3 linked regions of the Caenorhabditis elegans genome follow. The protein of the gene in region 1 interacts with the protein of each later gene in a biochemical or structural test. Each region holds a gene or a part of one and is shown in the gene's direction. Other genes may lie near its edges.

Region 1 (8,984 bases):
TAAATTGTTTATTCCGTGTTTTTACGTGCATTTTCGGATAATCGGCTTCCAAATATACCAAAAATTGAGTGCCTACCGATTGAAACTGTAAGCTAATAACAACTAGGCCTGTTGAATGGGTCGAGATGGGTCGACCCGCGACCCAATTTTGGGTCGGGGTCGCGTCCCCGACCCATTTTCGGAAAATGTCTGAAATTGAAAAAAAAAGTTTGTTTTGTTGTAAATCGTGTTTAAACGTTGACTCTTATGCTTGTTTGTATCGAAAATAGGATATGTTTTTTTAATTGATGAAAATACGATAATTTTATAATTTTCAGCTTTTACACGTGTTTTTTGACAAAAAATAGTTTTTCAAGTTTTTGATAACTTTCTGTTAAATTTTGAAAAAAATGGGTCGGGGACATGACCCCGACCCAAAAAGTGGGTCGGGGCCGCAACCCCGACCCAAAAAATGGGTCGGGGACGCGACCCCAACCCGGCCGACCCAAAAAAAATGGGGCGACCCACTCCACAGGCCTAATAACAACAATGCAGACAAAATATACAAAATAGCAGTATATTCGAATAAAAATTCATATCTGTCCACTGCGAGAAGAACGAGTAATTAATATGTCTTTTTTTTTATATTTTGCACGTTTCTGTTTTTGTGGTGTCCTTGTTCTATATAAAGGACTACACACCAAAAAACAACTGAATAATAGACGTTGTTGACATGCTTGTTTGTGGATTTTCAGAGATCAAATCCCACGTTTTCGGTTTTTTTTGTCGTTTTTTCGGAATCTCTAAAATGTATATTCTTTGTTTTTAGTAGTTCATATTATTATAAAAGAAAAAAAACTGCACATCTGGTAAACAATATAGAAAAAGAGAGTTGCGAAACTTCAAAAATTTGTTATTTAATGTCTTGCGACACTTAAAAAACCGGCATTTTACAGTTTATGTTGTGTTTTTTGTTTGTCGGTTGTCTTATCATCTTGTGGTTTTGGATGCATTTTTCACTTGGCAAGTTGTTTACCACTTTCTTCCGACCGCATGCTTTTTTTGCTTCGTTGGTTTTTTCAAAGTAAGACGGTTGTCATACAACAAATATCACAAGGAAATCACATATTTCACTGTTTCAACACCATGCCCATTTTACTCCAGACAAAAAGTTACCTATGTAGTTCCACTAGACGTTAGGAAATATTATACATTTTTGAAATTCATTTTTATTTTAGAGATTTCAAAATTATAGATTTTTACTAAAATTGCACGGAACGGCGGAAATAAGTAGACGAACGCCTACAGTCAAAATTCACAGGAATACCTCGTTAAATTATTCCGCTTTAAATAACTAAAATTGTATATAACATCACACTTCTACTTCCAGTGAAATACGCCTCTTTCTGCTTAAACTTTTTGTTCAGTTAACCAAAAGAATAGAGATTTGCAGCAAAGGTGGAGTAGCTCTTGTGCACGTGGTGGCAGGCAGTCCCATCACGGTCTGATCTACAAAACATGCGGGAATTTTTTCCCCCAAAAAATATGACGTCAGCACACTCTTAGCCATGCGCATTCAGTTGAAATGTCTGCGTCTAAATTCCCGCGAATTTTGTAGATCTACGTAGATCAAACAGAACTGAGACAATTTGACACCACGTGTCAGTGGAAATTTCATTATAACGCATTTATGATATTACAAAACAATAATACAGTCACTTGAATCTTTGTTTAAGGTGGTTTATATAATTTTCCCCAAGTTAAATTCGAATAATAATTTGTTTTGAAGAGAAAACAAGTTACTAAATGTTATTAAATTGTGAGCAACGTATTGCGTACATAAAATAATTTTGCTTTATACTTGATCCACCAGAATTCACATTCCCTCGTTATTTGAAAATGTTTAGTTTCACGCACATGTTTCTCATATTTCATTATTCCAGAATTTTCTTCTTTTTTTTTTTGAAAACAAATCTCGCTTTCCAAAAAAATCAATATTCAAACGCAACCTTTCTCGTGATGCTGTTGACGGGGGGAGAAATAGTGTCTGAAGTTGTTTTCGTCCTTTTTCCTGCCGCAGCAAAAAAGGTCACATCCCCTCTCTTCGCTGCTATCTCTATTTCTCTCTCATCTCTCTTGCCGGCGTTTCTCTGCTTCTCCGCTCAAGTTTTGTCTGCAATCTTTTCCTTCTGTCCTTTTCCTCTGTTTGCCACAATACGTCACTAGGGGTGTTTGTTTTTCCCATAGTCTTTCGTAGCCAACGACTATTTTCTTCTTTTTTTTTTCGTGTTTTATCAAAGCTATGAATTCTTAGTTCGTTAGATTTTTTTTTGGAGGAAAAATTGTCGTAGAACCTAATTAGTGTTGAATTAAAAAAATTAAACTTCAAAGCCTTATTGAAAATATGATCAATTAAAACTAAATTGTTATAAATGTTTCATAACCATGAAGTTCAAACTATGTTTGTAAATTTTTAAGATGTAATGGAAAAGTTGTAATATTTAAGTGCTCGTGTAGTATATCTGCCCTAAAAATTTTTGCCAATAGGGTTTCCACGTGGTGTCAGAATGTCTAATTTCGGCTTGATCTACGTAGATCTACAAAAAATGCGGGAGAAGAGACGCAGAGCTCTCAACTAATTTTGCATGGTTAAGAACGTGCTGACGTCACATTTTTGTGGCTAAAAAGTCCCGCATTTTTTGTAGATCACACCGTAGTGGGACACGTGGTTTTCCATTTTTGGGGCAGGTATAGTACATAAATACCATAATTTAAAACTACCTTTTAATTGTATTTTTTTAACGACGTATTTTTCTTTTTTAAAACAAAATCTCTGAAAGAATTATCACTATTTACAGCGTAAAAATGTCTACTGAAAACGCCCATCTACAAAAAGAAGACATTGTTATTGAAAGTTGGCTTCACAAGAAAGGAGAGCACATTCGTAATTGGCGCCCCAGGTAAGTTTTTCATTGTTTTACCAGGCCTATGTATCCAATCTAGTACAGTAGTTTTAAGTTTCATAGCTACTGTCCCTTATGAAAAGATATTCAAAAAGTTTTCACTTTAATTGCACTGAATTGGAAATGAAAATCTTCCAACAGGAAACCAAAACTAATTTGGAAATAAATGAAAATTAAATCCTAAGATGTCAGTATTTTAGGTACTTCATCTTGTTTCGAGATGGAACGTTGCTTGGATTCCGGTCAAAGCCAAAGGAAGATCAGCCGTTACCAGAGCCACTGAATAATTTTATGATTAGAGACGCAGCGGTAAGTTTTTGAACCTGTAGATGGTTACTAGAAAGTTTTCAAAATCGTTGCTTTTAAAGGTGGAGTAGCGCCAGACAATTTACTAAGTTTTTGCCACCCATTATTTTGGAAGTCGACAAAAAGAATTTTTTCCAACATTTTTTATACTGTATATCTGTTTTAATTATATCCATTGAAACATTGTAAGGGTCGGAACCAGGGGTGTGCGGCAAATCTCAAAATTTACCGAGCTCGGCAAATTCGGCAAATCTATTTTTCCATTATTTGCCGAGCACGGCCAATTCGGCAAATTTGCCGTGCTTAACAAAATCGGAAAAATTATATATTTTTTGATATTTTTTGGAGCACCGAAACTACTGAATTCTTAACACACCTCTGGTTTCTGAACAAGTTAGATGTAGTGTGTCTGCTTAAACATCAAAATAACTCAATTTGTTGTCATTTTACTAAATTTTTGGCGAAAAAATCAACAGTTTTAGTCAAAATTGTACTGTCAAATTTTTGACGTGTGCGGCAAATTTCGAAATTTGCCGCACACCCCTGGTCGGAACATTCGACATTGCTTTCGATTTCTTCAAAAACTCATACTTTTCAAAACTTTGGCAATTTGCCAAAACTTTGACCGGAAATTATGAAAAATCTAAAATTTATTGGAATGCTTCATTATGATATTCGGACATTTTGGATTATTAAAAATGTGTTTGAACAAAATCTTCCCTGGCTCTACTCCACCTTTAAGCAGAAAGTTAGTACCCCAGTAATATACATATGTAGAAATCCCTCTTTAGTAAAAATTTGAAAACCTTAGCTGAACTTCAAATAAGTTTTTAAGTAATTGCCAGTAGGCAGTTTCCATATTGAAAACCGCAACTACCAAAATGCTTTATTTCAGACGGTTTGCCTTGACAAACCTCGACCAAATATGTTTATCGTGCGATGTCTCCAATGGACCACTGTCATTGAACGCACATTTTATGCGGATAGCGCCGACTTCCGTCAGATGTGGATTGAAGCAATTCAAGCTGTATCCAGTCACAATCGTTTGAAAGAAAATGCAGGAAATACCAGCATGCAGGAGGAAGATACTAATGGAGTATGAAAGTAAAGAGATTCAAAATTTTCATGAAATTTTTTAGAATCCGTCTGGAGAAAGTGATGTGAACATGGACGCAACAAGCACCCGTTCGGATAATGATTTTGAGTCAACTGTAATGAATATCGACGAACCAGAGGAAGTTCCAAGAAAAAATACAGTGGTAAGTTTCAAAATCCTGCCAACAAATCCACGTATTGATATGTGGAAATAAGAGGTTTTTAAAGAAAGTTTTTTGAGTAAAAATGATTAACTCGAAAGGCGCAACAAGTTTTTTTTGGTTGACAGGTTGAGCGAAACTTTTTTTTCTGATTTTCCGCTAAAAATTCAAGTTTTGCTTTGTATCTCTATTATTTCTTAAATGTATGTAGTTATTTAATTTTGCAGACGATGGACGATTTTGACTTCCTCAAAGTTCTCGGTCAAGGAACCTTCGGAAAAGTTATTTTGTGCAGGGAGAAAAGTTCTGATAAGCTCTACGCCATTAAGATTATCAGAAAAGAAATGGTCGTTGATCGTTCTGAGGTGGCCCACACTTTGACTGAAAATCGAGTTCTGTATGCTTGCGTTCACCCTTTTCTCACGGTATGCTTATTGGTCGAAAAAATATTGAGTCGGTGTACAATGTTGGCAGATGTCAGTGAAAATTGAAGTAGATGATTTTTTTCGTGAAAAAATCATGTTTAGAGAGACGGATAAATGCACACTAGGATTTCAACGATGGCGCTACTCTCGCCCGCCAGCACCACAATACGCCCCACACTCCCGCCGCCCTCACAACATCGCCTTTCTCTGTTGCACGTAGCTATAGTGGCGCGAGGTCCTGCGCGGCGTCGGCAGCAGTACACAGAGTGTGATAATGCTGGCGCATGGGCGTGCCGAAGTAGGGCGGGCGTTTCCGTGGAACCATATTTTTTTTCTCTAAGAAACTCTGAAATACATATTTCCTATAAATTTATCGATTGCCATAACTTTACAAATATATCTTACTTACAATTATTTAAAATATTTGAATTCCCCAGTTGTTGACACAGTGCCACAAATATATTTTTTCAGCTACTTAAATACAGTTTCCAAGCACAATATCACATCTGTTTTGTGATGGAGTTTGCAAATGGTGGCGAGCTGTTCACCCATCTTCAGAGGTGCAAAACATTCAGCGAAGCACGAACAAGATTTTATGGATCGGAAATCATACTTGCTCTTGGATACCTTCATCACAGAAATATTGTGTATCGTGATATGAAAGTAAGTAGAAGCTTTTTGAGAGGGGTTATCACAACTTGAAGTATTTGTCAGAAATTTTTGAATTTCACAACTTTGATGTTTTTTCATTGTTTTTTCCATTGTTTTTTCAGCTCGAAAATTTGCTTCTCGACAGAGATGGTCACATCAAAATCACTGACTTTGGGTTGTGCAAAGAGGAAATCAAATATGGAGATAAAACAAGCACCTTTTGCGGAACACCAGAATACCTTGCACCAGAGGTAAAGCCTTTCAATTCTCGCGTCAAGTTATTAGTCTATTGTTTCAGGTTATCGAAGACATCGACTATGACCGTAGTGTTGACTGGTGGGGAGTCGGAGTGGTCATGTACGAAATGATGTGTGGACGGCTTCCATTTTCAGCAAAGGAGAACGGCAAACTCTTCGAACTAATTACGACATGTGATTTGAAGTTCCCGAATAGGTTAAGCCCAGAAGCCGTAACATTACTATCTGGACTACTCGAAAGGGTCCCAGCTAAGCGGCTTGGTGCCGGTCCTGATGATGCACGTGAAGTTTCGAGAGCTGAATTTTTCAAAGATGTGGATTGGGAAGCAACATTAAGAAAAGAAGTCGAACCTCCATTTAAGCCAAATGTGATGTCTGAAACGGACACGAGTTTCTTTGACAGAGTACGTTACGTTTCAATTCTTTTGAAAGTTTCAGAAGCAATATGAGTAATTTTTAGAGTAAACGATTTACAATTAGGGCAAAGTGTTGTTATTTTTAGTACAGTTTTAAAAAAATGTATGCCAACGTACATAAGATTTCATTTAGTTTTTTTACTGATACTGAAACACAAACAACACTTTGTTTAATGACTAGGATTTTCCAATTTTCATAACAGTTTTCATAGTTTCTAGAAATAAGAGAACCAATGATTCAAAAATGATATTAACATATACTCAGGAGTTCACATCAATGCCGGTCCAACTGACGCCTCCACGTAGAGGGGAAGAACTTCCGACAGTTGATGAGGAAGAAGAATTACAAGCCAACTTCATACAATTTGCGTCATACTACGTGTCGGGAAGCTTGGAACGATCTTATGATACGAACAGAAGCGCTGACAAATACGAAATAAGATGATTTTGTTTTCAACAATTTTTTGTGTTTTCTGTACGTTTTTTTCTCATTCACTCAATTTTGTCAACATTTCATTGTCTCCTTTGAAAACTTGTTATCTCTTTCATGAACTTAACAAAATCTCTTTCAAACATTTCAACCTTTCCAAAAACTGAAACTTTGCGTAGAGCACATTTCGTGTTGCTCACATCCTCTGGGCTAATTTCCATTCCTTTCCTGTTAAAACTCCCCATTTCGCATCACTTTTTTGACAATGCTCTTTTATCATGTTTTTCTGTAGTACTTGATTCATATACCCATCTCTCGGGTATATTTAAAACTTTTAAAACACAGTTCCTTTTCTTGATAACATCTTTTTCTTGATATTTTGTCGCCGACATTTTTTCTCGGGAATGAACCTTTCTCACATGGATGACTTAACAGTACTTTTACATTAAGACAAATACTCAGTTCAAGTAACAAAGAAAACTTTTATCAGAATTTATTTAGTTCAGTTTTTGAATGTCTAATAAAAAAGTGCATTATATCTCAAAACTTTCGAACATAGAAAAACGAATGCTTTTAATAAGTTGTAATTGGAATTGAAACAGATTTCGAGAAGTGAAACAATGTTCGGGGATCCTGTGGAAATCTGTCATGCCATACGAGAAAGTACATAGCAAAGTTTTCGATTAGAATAGTTTCGAGTAGACCATCACTTCTCTCAATATCGAGTCCATATGTGCAATCCACAAATTCAAGATCATCACTGAAACGACAATTTAAAAAAAACTGAATTTTCAACTGGCAGGCTTAAGTTTAGACATATGTTCCGGTTAAGTGTAAGGCTTGGGCTTAGGTTCAGGTTAGGCTAAGCATTAAAATTGAAATCAGGTGTCGGCTTAGAAAGCTTAAGTTTCGACTTAGCTTATGTGGTTTTAAAGTGTAGTTTTTCTTTTTATTTTTTCCCTGTTTTCCCCTAGATTTTAAGCAAGAATAATGCATATCAGAATGATTCCCTCCATTTTTATGACTTGAAAATTCCAGAAAGTTATTATTTGGAAAAGACCTTAATTAAACATACCAGAAGATTCTTGCTCTACGTTTTGGATTCCATTTGGAATATGATAAACCTTTCAATAATTCGCCCGTCCAATTATGCCACCAGTAGTTCAATTGAAGTCTTCTCAGTTTCGGCGAATTCCCGGCCAGCCAGTAATGAATTTACTTATTCCGTTTTGTTGCCGAGACTGTATTGAGATCATAAAATCTCATTTTCTCGCAATCCATCATTTTCAAATCGTCTAGTGTTAATCCTGGGCCTTTTTCGATGTCCAATCGTGGAATATTGGCCCACTTAAATGTGAATATGCTCATAATTCAGCAAAGATATTTTCAACTTACCAGCTTTCTATCAATCTTGTCCTTGTGTAAACAATAAGTCAGGAATCCATATTTCGAATCGAAATTCTTCAATATAAATTCCATATCTTCAGTGCCAAAGTACGAATGTCCGAGAAGTTTTAGAAAATGGCATTTCCGAAACAAAGGGTGGCTCAAAGCAGATTTGAACTCCCCAAAAAGTTGATCATGGTCAATTGCCAAATCGACATGATCGATTGAAAACAATCCGTTCAAATAATCCAAAAGACTAGTCAACTGAAAGTTGTCATAGCCGACCAAATTTAGATTGTCTACCTTTCTTTAGTGAAAATTATCAAAATTAGAAAATAAAATCAAAAGCATAGTAGAAAACTTGTCCAGGAACAGAGGAAAACTGGATTTCCATGTGCAAAAACTAAATAACCTATCTCCGCGAAAAATGATCGGATAGAGCTGTGATTTGAGATTCCATTTTGAATCATTCTATTAACTCTAAATTTAACATAAAAACCGAAACGATAGTGGAAAGTTTGTGAATTTTATGGAAAAATGCAAATTGTTCAAGATAAATGTTCATTTTTCGATTTTTGATACGATTATCCACCTTTTTTGGAAAAAAATTATATTTTTCGCTTCCTCTCGATGTATTCAACATTTTTCCAAAAAAAAATTGGAAAAAAAGCAAGACTAACAGAGATTTGACCGGAACAATGGTGAAAACTGACCGAAAACACACCAAATATGAAAGGGGGAGGTGGGTGTGTGTGTGAGAGAAAAGGGGGAATGTGCAGAAATTTTGGCAAAACTTTAATTATCGTTTTAAAAATAACGAATAGAGATATCACAATGAATTTGGATACTATGGATAGGTATTGGGAAGGAGAACTTAAGTTTCGAGTCTCAAATGTTTTCGATTGAAACTCGAAT
Region 2 (7,278 bases), on another chromosome or scaffold:
CGGTGTATTAACTCTTTGTTCTTTGTTTTCTTTCGTGTGATATGGTTGGTAGCCACTGCTTATAATGTATAGATCGATTTATAAATTGTTTCTGAAGAACATCAAAATTAAGTCGGATAATATTTTATTGAATTTCAAAGCGAGTGATCTGGTTTTCATGATATATATTTACAGTAACCTCGGCTCAGCCGAGTGAATTATCCACCGAATCCGTAGAGAGTTCTTCCTTGACGTTTCAAGGCATAGACAACGTCCATCGCGGTTACAGTCTTTCTTTTGGCGTGCTCACAGTAAGTGACAGCATCACGAATGACATTTTCAAGGAAGACCTTCAGAACTCCACGAGTTTCCTCGTAGATAAGTCCAGAGATACGTTTGACTCCACCACGACGAGCGAGACGGCGAATTGCTGGCTGGAAAGTAAATATTGAAAATTAGATAAAATATTTTTAAGTTAAAAATATATATTTATTTTCAAAAAACTAACCTTTGTGATTCCCTGGATGTTGTCACGAAGAACTTTACGATGCCGTTTAGCACCTCCCTTTCCAAGTCCTTTTCCTCCCTTTCCACGTCCAGACATGATTAAAAGTTGTTAGAAAACGAAAGCGAATGAGTTGATAAAAACAGAATTGAACGTCACTCGTCGTCGTTCTTTTATACGCCAGCAGAAATGGGTGGAGTCAGATTGAACCACCCTGCGGGGACACATGTCAGAAAAGCGTCACAGAAACGAAAAATACGTCAAAAACTTGGTGGCGTGTTTGCGGATTCGATGACGCGGGAAAGGTTGTGCAGCAGAAATAACAGTCCTCCAAGGGTTTTCCTTGAAATTCGTAGTGTTCGGAAAGACGGTGAAGAATAAATATCATATTTTTGAGCAAAATGGTTTTATTGATGTAAAAATAAGAGATCTTGAAAATAAGAATCGGTTTGAGAATTTAGAAATTTTCGAAAACGAAGAACACAACTAAGTACTCTTCGAACTGGATGACTGCTGCTGCTCCTTATTCTGCTCCGAAGTTTGCTGCTCTTCGTCATCATCTGAACCTTCTGGAACATCTCCATACTTCTCCTTGGCCACCTTGTTGAACTCGGCATTTGTTGCTTGACGAAGAACTGCGAGAAGCTCTGGATCGAGATTCATTCCCTCTGGGAGACCTCCCATCTGAAAAGATATTTTGTTTAGGCTATTCTAAGTAAAATAAAATAGGTCTTACCTCCTTCAGCAAATCATCGAATTGCTTATTGGTCATCTCCAATTTCTTGTTTCCTTGGCTCTTCTTGGTGTTCTTTGGCATTTTTGCGCGTCGATTTGGTGTTGTGCAGACTGGTTGACTAATGAATGCCAACGTAGTGTATATTATATACCCATATGCGGTGGAGGGGCGGAGCGACAGATGTCTGAGGTCACTAACGCTCGCACATGTTTCCCAAAATCGAGTTTACTTTACCAATACCAATTTATTAGGTTTTTAGTATAAAACAGGAACATATGAATAAATACATTGGGGAATAGGAGTGTTAATGGGAGATCGTAATCATTAATAAATTATTTACTGGAAGTGTACTTGGTGACAGCCTTGGTTCCTTCTGAAACAGCATGCTTTGCAAGTTCTCCAGGAAGAATGAGACGGACAGCGGTTTGGATTTCGCGAGAAGAGATGGTGGATCTCTTGTTGTAGTGGGCCAGACGAGATGCTTCCGAAGCAATTCTCTCGAAGACATCGTTGACAAACGAATTCATGATCGACATAGCCTTGGATGACACACCGGTGTCTGGGTGAACCTGCAAATTATTTAATAATATTTTTGATTTGACAGAATAACTACTTAATATTATTTTGATTTCTATGATCCCCCAAGACTAATTTAAATGATTTTTAAATACCGGTATTATATCGTTGCAGTTCGTACTAAGTGGTACGTAGTTTTAACATACAACATGCTAATGGCTAAAACATTTTTTTATCATAACTTATTCGATTTGAATATATTCTCACCTGCTTTAAAACACGGTAGATGTAGACCGAGTAGGATTCCTTACGAGCATGCTTTCTTTTCTTTCCGTCTTTTGGCTTGCTGACGGTCTTAGCAGCCTTTTTGGCTCCTTTAGCTGATGGTTTTGGTGGGGCCATGATCGAATGAGACACGAAACGAAAATGCGAAACGAATCGATGTGTTTGGCGAGTGTTGTCTATGAGCGCTGCGAAGCGCTTTTATACTCGCCAGCGGTGGCCCCACCTCTCGCTGCCGCGGAACTAGACTCCGCCCACACCGAGAGAAATAGTTAAATAGAGAGGCGGGCGCGTGTGCGCATGCGTATTTTGCATCGATTTTCGTCGGCTTAGACCACTTTTCTGTTTCTCTTTCACCTCCAATTTGCTCATCTAGACTTCTAGTTCATTGTTATTCAACCTAATTTCAGCAAAGATGTCCGGACGTGGAAAGGGAGGAAAAGCTAAGACCGGTGGAAAGGCCAAGTCCCGTTCGTCGAGAGCTGGACTTCAATTCCCAGTTGGTCGTCTTCATCGTATTCTCCGTAAAGGAAACTACGCACAACGTGTTGGAGCAGGAGCACCGGTATGTAGAATTTTAGAGCTGCTGTGTTTTGTGCATTTCCTAGATTAAAAAATCGTTCAAACCTGAACTTGCTAGCATTTTCCAAATTATATCACTTTTGCTCTTGTACTTTTTAAAAACATAATGTTCCAGGTGTACCTCGCAGCAGTTCTGGAGTACCTCGCCGCCGAAGTTCTCGAGTTGGCTGGAAACGCTGCCCGTGACAACAAGAAAACCCGTATTGCACCAAGACATCTCCAACTCGCTGTCCGTAATGACGAGGAATTGAACAAACTGTTGGCTGGAGTCACCATCGCCCAAGGAGGAGTTCTTCCAAACATCCAAGCCGTGCTTCTCCCAAAGAAGACTGCAGGAGACAAAGAATAAGCAGTGTCACAGATGAATATTGCAACTAAAGATACTCCGCCCCGTTAATTTATATGTCATCTGAATGTATTGTTTACTCGGCTGAATTGTAAATGAAATAAATTCATATACTTTGCAGTTATCAGTAAATTATTTTTTAAAATGAAAATAAGAATTTGTTTTAAATACAATTTTTCCAGGTAAGAAACTTCCCAAAATTCGGATTTTTGAAAAAAAAACTATTCGCAAGATCATATTTTCCTATTTTTGCATGTTCTTGTGTCCGAACATGTTTCCGAATGACCAAATAATAATAAAAAATGAGGCTGAAGAATTGCTGGGAAAAGTGTGCGGCAGCATTGCATAATGCCGCGCCCTTGCAAGTGGGCGGGAAGACGTTATTTTTAAGATTTCTTCGCAGTTTGTTTGGTGACATTCGATAAACTGTTTTTGTGCGAATGGATTTGTTTGACTTCCCTTGATTGCATTAAACATATTATTAATCTCTATCTCAAAATTCGAATCGCTCACTGTAATACATTATGTAACTGATTTTTTTCAGACATGAATTACGATGAAGACATTGTCGATGAAGACGAATATGAAGAGTCGGAAGCTACAATGTTGTTCGCTGAAGAAATCAAAAAACAGTTCAAAAGAGAGTTTCCGTTGAAAGCAGAGACAGAAAAAAAGCTGAAGCAGGCAACATTTCGTCGACATGCGCCGGTGGAGGCCAGAAAAATCAATTTCGATATGACACTCTCACCTGGTAAATTAACTTAATCCATTTATTAAAAATGTTTAAAATATTTTATTTAGTGGCTCCAATCGAATTGGCAAGTGCAAAAAAAGAAAAAGAGTCGGCACAGCGTCAATTGGTAACACTCCGTGAAGATCACGAACGTATGAAACAAATGATGCAAACGAATCAAGCGAAGTTGGCTGAAAAAACCATTGATCTGGAGACGAATCGTGAGAAAATGTTGGAGCTGCAAGAGCAAGTCGAACTTCTGAAGCAAGAACGAGATGACACCATCGCAGAGTGTAATCGAAACGTTGATATTTGGACAGCATTCGGCAAAAAATACTACACTTGGTACTCAATGGCGAATACTCAGCTGGAATCTGTGAAATTGTACATAGACAACGACGGAAAGTTTGAAAACGACGAAGAAGTTACACGATTGAATGCAGTTCCAAGACAGATGTACAGGGCTCTTGAACAATTCGATTATGATGATGAAACAGTAGAAGAACTTGGTTCAGGAAGTCTGCTAGAATATGAAGGTGTTTCATTTGCTACCCGTAGACCACCATCTCCTGAAACGGAAAGAGAAATCGCTCGTGCTGATCAATCGGCTGCTAACTTTACTCTACCTCGTAAGTCCGGAATTTTCAAACTTTTGTTTGCAGGCAAATATATTCGTATTTTCAGAATCCAATTTCACACTTCTCGAGGATTCAAATAACACCATAATGCCAGAAGATCAAACAATGATGACTGATGGCTGCATTGCCAATCGATCACTTATTGATTACGAGAAAGATGAGAAAATTCAGCGATTACTACTGGAAAACAGTGTTCTCAAAGATCGTTTGAATGTCTCGAGTGGGCGTGCTGAAAGGTCGATGATTTTCGAAGAACGTAATCGTACTTTAGAGTTTGAGAAGAAAGCTCTCCATAAGCAGTTGGACAGCACATTTGTGAGTGAATAATTATTGTTAAACTAATTTCACGTTTAATTTATTTTAGAGTGAGATTGAAGCTATTCGGATTGGCCAAGCAGGGAACTTGTTCAATATAGACGAGAAAATTCCTTCGAGTTCAGACAATTCCGCTAAGCAACTGCAGCTCATTGACAGAATCACTCAGCTCATTACGAAGAACAATCAGCTCGAAAAAGATTTTGAAGCAGCTACTTCCAGAATGACGAAAGTTATGCGAGAAAGCACAGACTGTGCTCGTCGCAACGAACGACTTGAGGATGCTTTTTCGAGCGAGAGAGTCAGAAGCCAAGACCTTGAAAATGAGAAAAGCCGGCTCTCTGAACAGTTAGAGTTGAGCAACAATGAATTGGAGAAGGTCAAGAAACAGTTGGAAGAATCTCAATCTCAGCTCGATGAAGTTCTCAGCATGACTTTAACTGTCCCAGCTTCAGAACCGGCATCTTTACCTGCTCCAACCGATGCCGGAAATAGTACACAGATTTTCCATATGGCTTCTAATCCACTCCAAGATGCTCACAATGAATTCCAAGCGTCTGAAAGTAGGAAAAGAAAGTTGACAGATGCTCCAGCTGGTGATCAATGGAGAGAGCAAGAGTTTGCTGAATTGGAGAAGCGTCTTTACGACTGCGAAAGTGAGAAAAAAGTACTCGAAAGTAGTTACAATCTTCATAAGGAACTCTCGTCGAAGTTCCGGCAAGTTTGTATTGCTCTGACCGGTCTCCAAATCAAACTGAAAGATGCAGACGAAGGAATATGCACTGTACAAAGCGAATATGAAGGTGGTTCCGCTCAGCAGTTCGTGTTTAAGTATTTCTATGGAACTCCTCGCATCGATATGCTTGATGTCAGCTGTGAATCAACTACTGAAATGCTTCGAAAGTGGGAGCCACTTATGAAAAAGTTTGTTAATTTTCTGGTTACTTACTATTAGAAGTATAAATACTCCCCGTTGTTGTGAGGCATCTTCTTAAAATATGTTTTTTCAGGTACATTGGCGACCGAAATTCGATTCCGGCTTTCTTAGCAGCAATGACTCTTCAGCTGGAACAGGATCGAGATTTTGACGAGACGATGCATGAGAGAACACATACATTCAGTGTCTTACACGAGGACTAAATCATTGAGCTATCTAGATCTCAATTATTTTTCTTCAAAGGAGAAGCTGTTAAATACACTGTTACCTGAATATTTGATGTTTCATTCCATTTTATTTATTTATTTTTTAATCTAAAACGTGTAGTGATCAAAATTAATCACACAATGAACGTTATATTTTCTTTCCAATTCAATGTTTACTATGGTATATTGTTTCGTACAATCTAAAGTTTATCTGCTCGTATATAGGAGAAATACCATTATGAAAATAGGAAAATTGGTTTTTGAACATCCTGTATTTTTCTAAAACGAGTTTGAATGATACCGCAATTAAATGATATAAGAAAATATATTTTCAGATGACAGCGTCAAAAATTAGTGATGTCTCTTTTGTGACTGATTTTGTATCAAAATATCAGAAAGGAATGGAGATGTCTTACACATTGGATGGAAATTCACGTGTTAGTGAATTCAATCAAAAAATGAGCAGTGTATCCATTCTTCTATTTCATAGAGATTTAGAGCAATTTCTTCTAGTTCGTCAATTTCGACCAGGTTTCCAATTTTATTCTATTGAAATGTGAGCGTTAAGTTGTTTTTTAGCAATCTTCACCGCATCAATTTCAAATTCGCCGGAGAATCACGGTAAAGAATTTGATAAAATTGACTGGAGCAGCTATGATTCTGAAACTGGCTACACCATTGAACTTTGTGCTGGACTAATTGACAAGGAAGGATTATCTCCTAGAGAAATTGCATCAGAAGAAGTTGCTGAAGAATGTGGATATCGTGTGGATCCTGATGATCTAATTCATGTAATAACATTTGTTGTGGGTGCTCATCAATCTGGAAGTGCTCAACATTTATATTACGCGGAAATCGACGAATCCATGAAAATCAGCGAAGGAGGTGGAAATGTTCATGAGGGAGAAGTAATTACTAAAGTTTATTACCCTGTCAACGTTGCACGTGAAATTGCACGCCCTGCTATTGGAACACATGCAGAAGTGAAAGGACCTCCAGGCGTTCTTTTTGCTTTTCAATGGTGGTTTTTGGTTTTGGATCCAAAAAAGGTGAATAAAAGCATATTTTTATTTAACTTTTGAAGACTGGAAAAACCCTTCTTAAAAAACGTGTGTTTACGACAATCATTTAAAATTTTTACAGAAAGGGCTCATCGCAACTCCACCAACTGGATATCAATGGCAGCCGCACAATGTAAAAACCATTTCGAACGTAAAATTCAACACTGATTTTGACAAAAAGAAGTATGGTTATAATCCAAAGAGAATGATTTTCACAATTGTGAGTTGAAGTAAAGTTCTTAAATTATATGTATAAATGAGAATCTCTTGTAGAATGGAATAACCCGCAACTGGGATTTAGCCTTATGTCCAAACACAGCTACATGTATTCTTGTAGATATGGTGAAGAAAGAATTGATTTTCTTGCAGAAACTCCGTGCACGTAAGTAATTTTTAAATCGAACTTTAATGAAATGTAAGTTTACAGCGGTGTTTGTTGGAA
Region 3 (7,065 bases), on another chromosome or scaffold:
CTAGAAAAGTGATAACGATGTGAACTTTCGAATTAAAGTGTTGACGCAAAAAATATGTTTCAAACTTATTTTCGAATTCCCGATTTGTCTCTTTTGCAATTCATTTCTAGTTGATAAGAGGGTTGACTCTCCCGATTCCATTTCTTTTTCTCTGAAAATTTTTTCAAGAACTGAACATTTCAATTCTTTTACGAATCGTTCTCTTGGTGAGCAGGAGATTTTTGTTGCAAAAATTGTGTTCAAGCCTCAAACACCAGTGACCAGAATCTCTTTCTTTCAAGTTTCACAACATAATAGAAAAATCCTTTTAGTGCAATATCTTGGCTCTTCCGTGGTGGTCTTGCCAGTTGACAGTTTTACAGTAGTTTTATGAAAACTACAGTATAGTTTCATTAAAAAAATTTTTTTCTGGAACTCTAGTTAATAAGAGAAAAGATTTCTTAAACTTTTCGGTCCTGACATGCTCAAAAATTTTCAACTACCGTACTTCATGCATATCTTTAAATTTTCCCCTATTTCTCTCGTTTTTTTATTACGGAAACACTAAATTCTGAGAATGCAGCAAATTTGACGCGCAAAATATCTCATAGCGAAAACTACAGTAACCCTTTATATACCTACTGTAGCGCTTTGTGTCGATTTACGGGCTCGATTTTTGAAATAAATATATTTTCGAACTGCGAGAACAAACTTTTTTTTTCACTTTCCTTCGAAATTTTTTAAATTTAAATTTGAAAATCGAGCCCGTAAATCGACACAAGAGCTACAGTAGTCATTTACAGTGATTTTCGCTACGAGATATTTTGCGCGTCAAATATATTGCGCAATACGCATTAATAGAATTGTTTGTTTCCGTAATATCGGTAGAGCAAATGTGCATCACCGTAGTGAAAACATCTGTTTATCTCCCGAAAGCCATCCCTCACTTCCTCTATTCGAAAAAAAAACGGGCCCAGTACATCTCAACGGTCACCTGCTAAATTTGAAATTCAGTGGGGGGAAGGCCCATCTGCTAGAGAGTGTATCTCTCTTCTTTTTTCGATTCGTCTAGACCCATTTTGCAGACGAAAAGGCACATGATACCCATTCCCCAACAATTCAAACTAAATTTGCAAAAAAACATAGGTTCACATTATATTCATATGGGGAGACCCTTCTAGTGGATCATACACCGATACCTTATCACATTTTCTGTTAACAATTTGAAACAGACATACACAAAAAAGAATGGAAAAGAGTTTCATGGTTTGAATTTCGGAGATCACAGGGCAACCGGCGGGAACATTGGCGCCCGCCGCCACAATTGTGATCTCTTATTTTAAGCGATCACTTTTTGGAGAAAGAGAGCGAGCGGGGCGCAAGAAGGGTCGCACGTGAATGACGAGGCATCTATGTGTGGCTCCGCCCGTTTTTGTTGACTTGTTTCTCTGTCTAGTGTACTTTAACACACAATTCAGTAAGTCTTTTCCTCTTCTTCTCCTGTGCCCGGAGAAGAAGAAAAAGACAGGTGGGTTTTGATGATGATCCACGAAAATAACCGTCAGATGATTATGTAAGAGACACTTTTTGATCGTTTTCAATTGAAAATAGAACGTAGCAAATTGAAAATAGTTTTCGTCGTGTTTTTTGAAAAGTTATTTTTTTGTGAAAAACATGAGTGTTTTCTATGTTTTGCATGTTTTCTGCTCTTTTTCAGTTATTTACAAAATGCAGCAAAAGATTGTTTAGAAAGATTGAAAAGACTTAGCGCGTATAGTTTGATCTATTGGTGGGGGTGGAGTCAGTGCATCTAATTTTACGCGCAATTTTATTATGAAAAAAAAAAAAAAAGAAAAAAAAGAAAAAAAAATTTCTTTGAAAAGCAAAAAAATTGCCAAAAATTGGAGATTAGAAAACTTTTAAAAAAAATCGGCAACTCTATTACGGGAACACAAACTTGTGAGAATGCGTATTTCACAACATATTTGACGCGCAGAATGTCTCGTAGCGAAAACTTGACTACTCTAACGCTTATGTCGATTTACGTGCTCGATGTTCGAAATCCTTTGATTTAATAAAATTCATCTCGAAGATCGAGCCCGTAAATCGACACAAGCGCTACAGTAGTCATGTTTTCGCTACGAGATATTTTGCGCGTAAAATATGTTTTGCAATACGCATTCTAAAAACTTTGTGTTCCCGTAATAACCAAAGTGCTTCGAAGTTTTACGAGAAAAATCCAATTTTTTGGAACTATTGTTAACGACATGTTTAGAAAAAGGTGTTTCTTCAAAAAAAAAGAAGGAAAATTGACAGAATTTCAAGGAAATTTACAAAAAAAAATCGAATTTTAATTACATTTCTGCTATATTTATGAAAAAAATTCGTAAGAAACTGTTATTTTTCCTCAAAAAAAAAGAAAAAAAAAACCAAAATTAATATTATATACTTTTAGAAAAATATTTTTTTTTTCGAAAAAATATAATATATTCTCCAAAGTTTTTCCAGCTCAAAGAAATTTTCGCCTTTCTTTAATTAAAAAATTTGAATTTGAAACCTTCATATTTTCTGTACTTTTTCGTAAACTCCGGTGTTTGCACAGTGTAGATTTACGAACTCTGATTTTTTTTTCTTGAAATCATTTTTTTACCAAAATCTTCTCTCACGATTTCCTCTCTTTAAAAAACTCATGTTTTATTCCTAATAGTGAGTTCGTTTGGGGCGAGCTTGCTGCTTTTTCGCTTTATATCTTCTTTTTTTCGTTTCCCCTTTTTCTTTTCCGTCTCAAAGTTCATAAAACAGTTTTGCACTTTCTCGTAAACAACTCTCGCATGGGGTCGCTCAGAAGTTGATCTCTGAAACCTCTGTCGCCGGCCGCCAACCAACGAGAAAAAAAAGCATTCCCAATGTCCTCTTTTCTATTTTTTTTTTCTTCATATTATTTCTCAAGGAAAGACATATCGGTTTACTTTTCCATCATTTGACGAGAACATGTGATGGAAAAAATGGTGGAAAAGTGGGCAAAAATGGATTGTGATAAGAAACTTTTTTTTTGCAAAAAAATCTTCCTCTATACACATTTTATGTCAAAATAAGCTTCTTCTCTCTCTCTTTTTATCAGTTCGAGACGTCGGAAATGTTCATTTTTAGTTAAGATTTCAAAATTATCCAAAATAAAAACGTTTCATTTGAAATTAATTTCCTCATTGTAACTTCTATTCAATTTCTATCTGTATTTTAATGATGCAACTCGAGGTTTTTAACATTTTTTGCTTATAATTATGATTCTAAATTGAAAATCAAACTAAAATTTGCAGCAAAAGTCTTCATTACATTGCTCGAAGTGCCGAAATTTTCTGCAAAAATTCTCACAGGACATGCAAGCGTGGAACTGTCGTGAGGTATGGCGCCGCATACGCAAACACCTTGCACACACATCGAGAACTACCGTATACTCGCAGTTTAAATTTCAAATTTTCGAAATTTTTTTCCAATCATTTTTCCCTATTTTTCTTCATTTCGCTGCTAAAAATAGTTGTTTTGAACCCGATTTTGTGCGAAATCGTGGAAGTTTACACAGCTTTTACAGTTGAAAATCAAAAAAGCGCGCTTTTTTCGTCTAATTTGCCCAGTTTTCAGCTCGATTCGCCGCTACCATCTGACATCACACTGCACAATCTCGAACCGGCAAGGCCTGATTCCGGAATGAGTTTTTCCACTGATTTTGACGGTAAATTCGTGATTTAAAGTTGTAAATTCCAATTTTATTTGTTTTTTTTTCAGATGATTTCTTCAATCTCGACCTCCATCAACAAGAGCGTTCGGCTTCTTTTGGCGGAGTAACCCAGTATTCTCAACAATTTCTTCGCGAAAAATGCTCGTTCTCTCCGTATTTCCACACATCTTTAGAGACTGTTGACAGCGGAAGAACTAGGTACGCCAAATTTAAGATTTTTAGGTGGTTTGTGAAGGTTCATAAAAGTCGAATTGCACTAAAAGCATTGTTTCGTGGAAAAAGGACAAACGCTATAAAAGTTGATGATTTTTGCCCTTTTTATCAATTTTTGAAAGAGTTTTGGCTTGTGAACAAGCCTCGGTTTTAAAATTTCAAAATTTCAAAATTTTAAATGTTTAAATTAAAAAAGAACAAAAAAATATATAGAAATATATATATATATGCCGAATGGCCTTGAATTTTTCTCAATTTTAGGTCTCAGCTGACCTTTTACTGTTTCTGATTTTTCAATTCTTGTGGTCGTGTCGCGTCATCTTTTATCTGTCACATTCGCTCTGATTTTTGATCATCGAAATTTCTTTTTTTCGTTACTCTTCCAATTTCTCCATTTTATTTCCGATCGGTTGGCACAATCAAAAGTGATTTCTCTCATTGTTGCTGACCTCGAGATTTGTTTAAGGGAAAACCCTTTGATGTCATCACTGTTTTAGTTGTTTTTTGTTTCTAATCATTTAACACTTTTTCGTCTTTTATAGGCCAACAAGCCTATTGTCAGCTGTTGGTCCACTAAGCACACGGGAAATTCACGTGCATGTGAGGAGGAGAGGCAAATAGAATTTAAAGGGGTTTCCCCGATCTTTTGACTCTTTTCTCTCTTTTTTTTTCTCGCGGAGTTGCAGTTTGCAAACAACTGGTGATTAGGTTTTCTATTTTCTCTTTTCTCTTTTGATTGCTTGGAAATTAGATTTGATGCAAACTTTAATATCATGAGTTTCTGATTCAACTTTTTTAAAGACAGAAATCGTATTTTCGTTCTAAAAATAATTTCTCTCTACAGTAACCCCATTTCTTTTAAAAACCGTCGTCGCCCGTCTCAACAATTACTCACCATTGTGTGCAACATTGTATACGGTGTGACGTTCAGAGGTCGAAAACTGTCACGCGTTTGCTCCCTCACTGTATTGCCAGACAGAGTCTCTCTGTCTCTCTCTCTCTGTTCTGTCACATCAGCTGTTCTTCTCTCTACGGGAAGGAAGCACAAAATGGCAAACATTTGAAAGAAAGGGAGAGAGCAAGTGGTATTTGAGAACGGAAAAGTGCACTTTTTGCACACTGTTGTAGCGGGGTTTTTGATTAGAACAGACGATAGGTCGAAAATCAGAGAACAGAAACGAAGTACCTATTATGGTTCCATTTTAGAAAATTCAAATTTTCGAAATAAGGAGGTTTTTGGCAGAACTGGTAATTCCTGTATGATTTCAAATTTTTTGAATCAAAAATTAAAACAGAAATGTAGGAAAATCATATACCTTTATTAAAAAAGCTTGAAAAGTTTCAGGCAACGCCTGAAAGTCGCTTTTTTTATATTTGGAATTTTTAACTAACTCTACATCTTAAAATTAAGTGTTGATTCTAAATATGGGAATATCATATCGAAAATATTTTTTTTGGCGATCTTGTGCCCCCAAGCCAATTTTTTTTGAATTAAGAGTCTCTACAATATCGACCATTTTCACACAGTACGGTACTTTAATTTAATTGTCATTCCACTCAGCCTTCCTACTATACACGTCCCATTGGATTTCAGTGTCTCGTTGTCTGGATAGACTCGCGTCGAAAAAAAAGGAAAAAAAGTAGTGTGTTCTACTCACGGTCTGTCTGTGATTTTTTTTGCTGCCTCCTCTCTCTGGTGAAAGTGAAAGTGTTTGTTTTGGCCTTTAGTCCTTCTTCCTTCCTACGCTCTGATTTTCAGTGAAATTTGATCGAGACCTCACTTTTTTTTAGTCGACCTGAAAATCTGGTGGCCAAAAATATCAGTTAGATCTAGCTTATCGGAATTACCATTGAGTTATTTGTTCTTTGTACTCTCACGAAATCTTTCCCACTCCATTGCGCTATATAATCAAGCTCCTTTTGACTGTCAACATACTGACAGTCTTTGATCATTTCATCATACATTGCCAGGCGTCTTTATCAATTGCCTGCTGCAAAAGATAAAAGTCAGTCAGACGCGTTGACACCGATTTTTCTTTCTCATGTAAAAAATCAAAAAAGAACAAAAACGGCAAGTGACGTTGTATATTCTGTTTTGAAAATAAATTATTAAAAAAACAGTTTCAAAGGTCAGAGTTCTAGGCGTAAACTAGATGATGTGATAATCTGAAATTACTGTAAAAAGCCCCTCCCACGAAAAATCTTTAGGTTTCTGCTAACTAATAACGCACTTGAACTAGACTCTCTCTTGGTTTTGCACTTTTGTTATTGCCCTCTCTCTGTTTCTCCCCGCACACTCCCGTTTCTTGTTACTCCGATGAAACTCTTGTTATACATTGCTCTTATAGTTTTTGGTCCTTTTTTTTTGGAATTCAAATATTGTTGAAACCAACAACAACGAAAAAATTCCCCGCAATCATTGTTGACTTTTTAACCCATCACTTTACACACAAATGGTATTGGCATGTGTCTGTCTGAAAAACAACCCAATAAAAGTGAAAACGGGGAACATGAAGTTCGCTTTTTTCGGAATTTTGGAACGCTTTTTTTTTCAAAAAAAAAATTTCTTTTGTCGGAAAGTCTTCCAATGACGTTATTCATATAATGAATTCATCACAAAAAGGGAAATCCTAACCAAATTTTTTCGCGATTCAGTGCAAAATATTGCAGCAACTTGTCCAACATCGCTACTCTCGCAACATTTTTCCCCTGTCGTCGTCGCCATCGTTATCTCTTTCCCTTTTTTGTCTCTGCAAATGAAAACCGGTTTCCCCCGTGTTCGATTCGCGATGTCTCCTCTCGATTTTTGTGAAGAGAATCGAAAAACGAGACCAAATGGGAATACCGATGTACTTTTTTCCTCCCTGGAGGTTTTTTTGCCGAGTGTCTAGATGTCTACGTGCCTCGAGAATATAAGAAGGAATAGTTTTATCAGTCTTCTTCAAGTTTCTAGTCTCGAATTTTCCATCTAGCCATCTGAGATAAGAAGAAAATTATATGAAAATGTATCCTAGAATACTGTAATCTTCTTTATCAGTTGTTTCAACAATATCCTTCTTACTGCTCACTGAGCCCTAAACCTCTTGGATCCCACACACACAGATCTATCAATGCTATCGGTTCCGATCTGTGCTCAA

Evidence for each region. Proteins that work in one complex are often made in the same cells at the same time.
Region 2: of the proteins of akt-2 (region 1) and mdf-1, one has a biochemical effect on the other in vitro, tested with the Caenorhabditis elegans proteins (one study listed by BioGRID).
Region 3: of the proteins of akt-2 (region 1) and daf-16, one has a biochemical effect on the other in vitro, tested with the Caenorhabditis elegans proteins (2 studies listed by BioGRID).

What each region holds. Positions count from the first base shown.
Region 1 is NC_003284.9:14,144,863-14,153,846, forward strand, and holds akt-2 (Serine/threonine-protein kinase akt-2), read left to right. Parts: upstream 1-2,837; 5' UTR 2,838-2,844; coding exon 2,845-2,939; intron 2,940-3,142; coding exon 3,143-3,251; intron 3,252-4,143; coding exon 4,144-4,344; intron 4,345-4,387; coding exon 4,388-4,507; intron 4,508-4,731; coding exon 4,732-4,929; intron 4,930-5,400; coding exon 5,401-5,592; intron 5,593-5,702; coding exon 5,703-5,831; intron 5,832-5,878; coding exon 5,879-6,241; coding exon of another isoform or gene 6,242-6,286; exon of another isoform or gene 6,287-6,518; coding exon 6,519-6,698; 3' UTR 6,699-7,106; downstream 7,107-8,984. UniProt on the Caenorhabditis elegans protein: Acts downstream of PI3 kinase age-1 and kinase pdk-1 in the daf-2/insulin receptor-like transduction pathway. Essential role in regulating developmental arrest at the dauer stage.
Region 2 is NC_003283.11:9,540,439-9,547,716, reverse strand, and holds mdf-1 (uncharacterized protein), read left to right. Parts: upstream 1-3,490; 5' UTR 3,491-3,492; coding exon 3,493-3,697; intron 3,698-3,747; coding exon 3,748-4,308; intron 4,309-4,363; coding exon 4,364-4,632; intron 4,633-4,681; coding exon 4,682-5,556; intron 5,557-5,642; coding exon 5,643-5,772; 3' UTR 5,773-5,935; downstream 5,936-7,278. Other genes in the region: his-37 (Histone H4), read right to left, coding at 198-413, 488-583; C50F4.6 (Cold-shock protein), read right to left, coding at 971-1,168, 1,221-1,301; his-41 (putative histone H2B 3), read right to left, coding at 1,553-1,789, 2,004-2,138; his-35 (Histone H2A), read left to right, coding at 2,434-2,583, 2,716-2,949; C50F4.16 (Uridine diphosphate glucose pyrophosphatase NUDT14), read left to right, coding at 6,111-6,306, 6,355-6,824, 6,919-7,056, 7,110-7,218, 7,264-7,278.
Region 3 is NC_003279.8:10,747,276-10,754,340, forward strand, and holds the start of daf-16 (Forkhead box protein O), read left to right. Parts: upstream 1-3,222; coding exon 3,223-3,234; intron 3,235-3,287; exon of another isoform or gene 3,288-3,296; coding exon 3,297-3,380; exon of another isoform or gene 3,381-3,430; intron 3,431-3,618; coding exon 3,619-3,709; intron 3,710-3,762; coding exon 3,763-3,913; intron 3,914-5,143; exon of another isoform or gene 5,144-5,282; intron 5,283-5,790; exon of another isoform or gene 5,791-5,937; intron 5,938-7,065. UniProt on the Caenorhabditis elegans protein: Forkhead-type transcription factor. Binds to the promoters of genes that contain the daf-16/FOXO binding element (DBE), TTGTTTAC, in their regulatory region.